2 linked regions of the Caenorhabditis elegans genome follow. The protein of the gene in region 2 interacts with the protein of the main gene of each other region in a biochemical or structural test. Each region holds a gene or a part of one and is shown on either strand. Other genes may lie near its edges.

Region 1 (4,309 bases), on a different chromosome or scaffold from region 2:
CCTCGTTGCTTTTCCATTTTTCAATGAAATTACGTCATTTTAAGCGAATTTTTTAACGATACAATTCGACATACTAAGTAAATTAATTGAATTGATAAATGGAAAAACGAGGACGAGGACGCAACTGCAAAAATTAAAAAAAAAACATACTACCATAAACTTTTTAGCGCGCCGAGACCCATCTGAATAAATCCGTGCACCTCTATAGAGTGGATCACTGTAATTCTTAAAGTTTTTTTTTGAAAAGGTGACGTTCGTGGTGAGAACGGGCACCAATATTTTAAAGCGAAAAATTCAGTAGTTCACAGCTGGATAATAATTTTTTAAAAAGTTTTAGTTTCTCTGTCAGTACTGTTTTTAAACCAGTAGTTATTTTTAAAAAGTGAAAAAATTGTATTTATACAATTCTAAATCGAAAAACGAAACTTGGCATCGCCTGGAAAACGTATTTTAACTTTAAGAAACAAATCTCAAAAAATCTGGGATTTTCTTTTCGTAATCCATGATAAGTATATGATAGTTTATTTTTCAAAAACACCAGTGAAAATTGTTAGATAAAAAGAAGAAAACGATATGTCACTTAAAAACCCGTTAACAACAAAAATTCGATTATGGCAATAAATTGTGACAAATTCCTAGATATCACATGGCTTTGAGTAGCTCGGTTTGTAGAGCAAATTGTGAGAGCTGCTCAGGCGAGTTGACGTGCCTCTTATTGAAATCATGGATTCTGAAAAGAATTGGGTAAGGATATAATATTATTACAAATTAAAAAACCTTTGTATCTAGTGACCATTGTTCGATTTGATGTTGCCTCTGTATCATATACATTGAACTTTGACATACTAGCATACCACCGTATCCCGGGAAGTGTCCGTGCTTGATTTCGGAACCTAAAATGGGCAAAAAATTTAATATTCTATTTATTAAAGGTCTCGTTACCTTGTTGAATATTTATAGTAGAAAACAATTGCACTCGTCGAGTTGACAACAATAAGTACATTGTTGATGTCATTCATAAACCAACCAATATCTCCTCCAAAAGTCTCCTTGTCAAGAATTTCCCATATATTTAGAATAAATGAGAAGATGTAGCAAACGAGGAATACTGAAAGCTTCATGACTTTGTTGACTTTAATACTAAATTGTATTGGGGATATGTAAATAATTTTTTCATCAAATGCTATCCAAAAAATTTAATGTTTCTCAAAACTAGTGACTAATTTTAAGATTGGGTTTGTCCTCGCGGTAGGTAGAAAAAAATAAAACAAATTTTTACCGCAAATCCCTTCTATCAGTCTATGAGTGTGACCGTATTTTCATTTTCACGACCACTGAGCAAAAATCCGATTTCTAGAATATCCAAAAAATGAATCTTACCTAAAACAACCATTATCATCATTTTTGCAGTCGAATGTTCTCGTTTCACACTTGCCACTAGTTCTCTTCGTTGCTCGGATGCCTCGATAATTGTTCGCGCTACCTGGAAAATTGCTTTGTTAGAAAATTTGGGCAGTTACACTAAAACTAATCGTTTTTAGGATTACATGCTTTATCTAAATAAATAAAAATAATGTCCTACCTTCAGTTAAGTCTAGGATGTAATACTGACCCTACCCATGACTAATCCTCAGCCTAAGCACACGACCAAGCCTAAACGTAAGCCTAAGCCTAATACTCAGCCTAATCCTAAGCATACGACTCAGCCTAAGCTTAAGCCAAGGCCTAAGCCGAAACCTAAATCTAAGATTAAGCCTAAGACTAAGTTTAAGCTTAAACCTAAGCATACATCTAAGCATAAGCCTGAGCCTAAGGCCTACTCCTACTCCTCAACCCATTGTAACCAACTTACTTGAATGTTGAGAACACATAACACTGTAAGTGGAAATGCGAATTGCGACACCAACGTGGCAACATTCTGGTACCACAATAAGAAGTGCGGATTTGCTCGAAGCTTCGGTACAACAAGATCTTCAATCGTACGATTCTCAGGAGCGACATCGAAATTTATCGTGTACTCCCAAATTCGAATCAAATTGTAAGCAACACTGAATATCACGACAACTCCAACAGTTATGAGAGCGCGATTCCTTGTACAATACGTATTGACCATGAATGGATGACATACGGCTAAGTATCTGTCAATTGTTATGGATACCAGCAACCATACTGACACTGACTGGAACATTATGGTCACTGGATACAAGTACACCATGATCATTGCAGTAATTGTTGGCGGAATGACTTGTTGAAGTTGAGTACTTGCAAAAACTGGAATTGCAAGAACGCAGACGCAAAGGTCAGACATTGACAAGGCTGCGAGCAAGACGTTTATGCTCTTTTTCCGGAATGTTTTACGAGTGTAGATGTAGAATGAGATGAAGTTCGTGAGAATTCCACCAAAGCACATCAGCACCATCACGTTCACCAGAACCCGGGAGAGTAGTAGCAACATTGTTTTTGTGAGAGTTTAGTGGAAGTTGAAGATGTTTGTTGGTCAATTGTGCATTTATGAGCTGAAAATGCAAAAGTTCAAGGTGCGTAGAGGAACAGTGAATGCAAGGAAGAACACAGACAATAAGGGAAATATTATTTTCTAAGATACGCATGACGTCATAGCACTCTAATACTTTTAAAACCTTCTTTCTAGGCAGCCTAGGCTTACATTTTGCTGAGGCACCTAATGTAGAAATAGAAGGTGCGCACAACACCTGTGCACCACGCCATATAAAACATATTTAAAATACTAGCATCCTATAGAATACAGAACGTAAAAATAGAGATGTCCAAGAAAACTGAAGAAAAAATAAGAAAATGGAGGGAGGAAATTGAGCTAATTGATGAATATTGCTCAGCTGTTCATTTGGTGGCAACTGGAAACAGGGGCACAATTGTTCCTCTTCGGGGAACCCCATGTTCTTGAAATGCTCACAACTTCATCAAATTTTCCAGATAGGAAAAGATGGATCGCAAACAAAATAAAGCCTGCTAACTGACAGCTTCACCACACACACTCTCCAAACAACTTTAATAATTCATATAGATTCATCTCATCATAATGCACTTCCGTGGGGGTGGGACATATTCCTGAAATTAGTGCACGATTCTTTGTCATCAGATCCTGGATTCTGATTTTAGGTTTGGGCTTAGGCTTGGTTTAGACTCAGGCTTCAGATATTTGGCGTTGCCTATGGCTCAGACGTGCTTTCAAAAACAGGTGGGTACTGAGAATCCGAGTTATTTTTGGTCCTACAAAAATTGAGGAATTCGCATTTCTCCGAAAATTTTCATAAAAATCCGTTCTGTGACATTTTCCACGAAATTCTTTGAAATTCACAGAAATTCGCAGACACTTGAAAAAGGTTCGGAAAATTTTAGATTGTAAACTGAAGAGCCTACCATTGCGTCTTGTTTATTGTTGAAGTAAACAAGATGTACTTTTTTTTCTAATTTGATAGTTGAACCTTTAATGTTCCAACATTTATTCAAAAAGGTATAGGTAGGCACGTAGGTATGACATGATTAAAATTACCTGATCTTTTATTTTTTCCCCAGTATCTTTCTGCTAGAGAATTCAATTGACCTATTTGGAAAGGCTAGACTATAAAATGAAAAGGAACAAGAAAAAGTAATTATCAAGAATTTTTGCAACACTACCTGGTTCAGACGTGATCATTAATACTTGAAGCCCCCAAATAAAAACATTGAAGAAACAGAAGTGAAGAGCAAAAAGTAGGGAAAAAAAGAAAAGGAAAAACGCGAAGAAGATTCAGATAACAAAGGAGAAACGAACACGTTATGAGGGCAATTATTGGGTCCGGAGATGGGGAGCCACGAACAGCTTATGGGCGGGACGTACTTGAGCAACAAAGTGTAGGAGGTCCCGGGAAAGTTAGTTGCTAATTTATATCCTACTCATGAAAGCATTGGTTTTTTAAAGTACATTCAAACTCATTAAGAGAATCCGAAAAAAGCAAGTAGCTTGAAACCCCTTTCATTTTGAAATTTCGGAGGGATCAGGAAGTATTTGAATTAACAGAGGGATAAAGGGATATTTATATATTGAGCGCTAACGTAGGTGAAAGCATAAACTATGTCTAACTAATGAAAAAATACGGAGATCACTTCAAGGAGGTCTAGAAGTTTGCATTTTGTGAGCACGAAGAGGTGAAGTTCTATTTTTTATAAAGATTGGTGTTTGTTATGAAATATAAATATTTTCTATTCTTTAAAATTCTAGGAATACTCCTAAAGGTTTTATTATATCGAACAAGAAAACAAATAAAAATTGTGATCTAAAGGAATAACC
Region 2 (3,076 bases):
TCTCAATAAACCTCTATTATCCAAATACGTATATTTCTGATTTTCAGGAAAACGAGCGGGTGACCATGACCAAAAAGCTCTGTATGATTTATTGCCGTAGGGATTGAGAAGCCTTTACAATGTTAATAATCATTTTGGATTATTTTCTGAAAAGTTCAACTTAACTCATACGACGCTCTCCTAGGAGAGTCGATGCACTTTGAAATAAAGTTAACAACTTTTAACGTTATAGGGAAAGGCGCGAGATCAGGCTTTTCTGTAGCTGGGCAGGTTTGATCATATTTGAATACTGCAGCGAATGAGTGGACATGAAACCAGGCTCGGGACACAATGCTTTATGGCGCGAAACTAGTCCAAAAAGCAAAAAATGTACATTGTTTTTAATCAACTTACCAGACTCACCGTATTAGCCATTCTGAACAATTTTCCTGTTTTTTATAGTTTTATTTTTTTGAAATCCTCTCATCCTTTGCATTGCATGAATTTAAGATGAAGGACTGGAAAACAGGCGTCGGTTCTTTATTTTGCAAATCGCAAATTAATTTTGATACACTGGAGTATTTGGGTAGCGACCAATCTGTACTATTAGTCAAGTGGCACAAAAATAATTGTCAAAAAAAAATACATAAATGAAAAAGGTAAGAATAGGCCGTAGAACGAGATTAAACTACAATGTGAGACCGTTTTGTTCTTGGTAATCAAGGTGTTTGCATGTACTTGTTTATTCGCTGTCCTCGATGTTCTTCTCGTTTGATTGCATCTCAAATTCCATCGAACGTTTGCCAAAACGGACCATCGATGATCTCTGCATTGGTGTCCGTTTTCCGAGTCTGAACTTCAGCTTTATTCACAAAATACTTTTCACGTCAATACGTACCGAACCATAGAAGCGCGATCAATTGATGATCTACCAAATCGGACCATTTTCGATCGGTCCATAGGTGATCTTCCAAAGCGAACCATAGCCGAACGCTCCATCGGTGAACGTTTTCCAAAACGCACCATTGAAGATCGTTGCATTGGCGACCGTTTTCCAAAGCGAACCATTGAGGACCTTTGCATTGGCGAACGCTTTCCGAATCTAACCATGGATGAGCGTTGCATTGGTGACCGTCCGAACCGAACCATTGATGAGCGTTGCATTGGAGTACGCTTTTGCTCGTCAATTCTAAAAGTGCATAGTGTGAGAATAAAGTTTTTTCTGAATAATAACAACTCACAAGTCCTCCTCTGAGAGTTGCTCTCCTGACTTCTCGAGTCTGAAAAATATAAAAAATAGAAAAAATAGGAGTTCATTCAGAATAATAAAATAAATTTATTCACTCAACAAATCACGACAACAAGAACAACATAATATCAATAAATCTCAACTCACTCAGTTGGTTCTTGAACTTGTTGTTCGGCTGATTCCTCGGCCAATACCAAAACTAGGAGACCAAGAGCAAGAAGAAGGAAGCGGGATCCAAGCATTTCTAAAAGTCTTTGAATGAAAACGAGATGGTATTTTTCGATGACGTCATGTTTCCAAACATGACGCGGAGTGGTTTAAAAATTGAAATTTCAATCGAGAAAAAATGAGGAGAAAAGTTGAAAAGTCAAAAAAAAGAACCCTTCTTTGAGTGTTGGCAGAGGGAAATTCAATTTGTAACTTGAACTGCAAATTGGATTCAAGATTGAGTGGATTGCACAAGACCAAGCAACAGTAATCAAAAAATTTGTATTTGACAATTTACTGAAAAGAAAACTGATGACGGGGCAAAATAATCACAATCAGAAACGCAATAGAAGCTGCTATCCATACTTATATACGCTTTCATATTCCTGAGCTCGAGAAAGGCTCATGCTCCACCCCCTTCTTCTCATGCCTTCTAACCTTGTCTGATGCTATGACTCCGCCTTCGTCCAAACAAAAACTGGAAATCGGAACAAGGAGAAAAAATAACACCAAAAAAAAAAAAAATCAAAATTAGGTTGGAATCCATTGAGATGGTTGGCTATTTTTGCTAAAGACGCATTAGCCCGATTAAAAAAATCCAAGTTCACAGAGCAATCAAAGTGAATTATACGGATCTTGGGACACTTCATTATTCACGCGGTCCATCTCTGTTTGATTGTGTCGGGTATTTTAGGATACTAGCAAGCACTCTCCAGAAGAGCAAAGAGAAAGATGTTTGAAACCTTTTGAGCGGTCAGTTGAGAATTTAGGAGGAAGTGTTAGAAGAAGGCAAAAATAAAAATTAATTCAACAAATAAGTTTCCAAAAATTTTGTATGTATTACTTAGACACAAAGTTATCCGTACTGATGTACGTTGAAATTTCAATTTATAAATTTAGGTATTATTAAAACTATTATCAGGCTCTTCAACCTATAAAAAAGTCATTTTGGAGCCTGAAAAAAAATTATAAAATATATTATGTTTAATTGAAATGAATAAATGAATGAAAGTTCAATTTATTTTTAAACGGGGGTTGTGATGCACAAACACATATTTATCTAGTCCTTTTTATGTAAAATATTATAAGAGTCGCATAACAAAAATAATTTTAAGTACATTACAATACAGCTTCAAGATTAAGAAAATCAAAAAATGACGTTTTTTTTCAATTGTGGATACTGAAGTTTTTTAAGTTCAATTTTGTTCAAAAACTAGTTTAAAATAAAAAAAAAGAAATTTCGGTCAGTTTTTCTTTTGATCATTGATTGTGAAATGTAGAGTTTAAAATAGTTTCAGATAAAAAACTTAAGTACAATAACAGGTCTTGACACGAGTTTTCAATAAATAATGTAAAACATACTTTTTGCTCTTTTTCAAAGTATGTTAAAAATTGTTGAAACCAAGTACCATATCTATAAAACATGTGGTTTTGTGAATCTGGGTGATATGTCATATTACGTATGTACACTTATTGTAGATGCGTTTGAGTATTTTTGCAAAACCCTTTCAAAAACATTCCATAAGTATTTTATAGAATCACCTGTGCATTTAATTTCAAACGTTTCCTCAATTATCGTAACTCGAGCAAAAGATGTGAGAGATGCCAGAAGAGAAGCTGCTATTTCATAGAACTCTAAGT

Evidence for each region. Proteins that work in one complex are often made in the same cells at the same time.
Region 1: of the proteins of flp-7 (region 2) and frpr-3, one has a biochemical effect on the other in vitro, tested with the Caenorhabditis elegans proteins (one study listed by BioGRID).

Annotation. Positions count from the first base shown.
Region 1 is NC_003283.11:7,769,474-7,773,782, reverse strand, and holds frpr-3 (G-protein coupled receptors family 1 profile domain-containing protein), read right to left. Parts: upstream 2,523-4,309; 5' UTR 2,456-2,522; coding exon 1,853-2,455; intron 1,484-1,852; coding exon 1,381-1,483; intron 1,109-1,380; coding exon 943-1,108; intron 894-942; coding exon 778-893; intron 731-777; coding exon 636-730; 3' UTR 514-635; downstream 1-513.
Region 2 is NC_003284.9:5,884,261-5,887,336, reverse strand, and holds flp-7 (TPMQRSSMVRF-amide 2), read right to left. Parts: upstream 1,473-3,076; 5' UTR 1,471-1,472; coding exon 1,376-1,470; intron 1,260-1,375; coding exon 1,221-1,259; intron 1,169-1,220; coding exon 878-1,168; intron 831-877; coding exon 722-830; 3' UTR 504-721; downstream 1-503. UniProt on the Caenorhabditis elegans protein: FMRFamide-like neuropeptides. Stimulates serotonin-induced fat loss by binding to and activating the npr-22 receptor which leads to induction of the atgl-1 lipase and subsequent fat loss.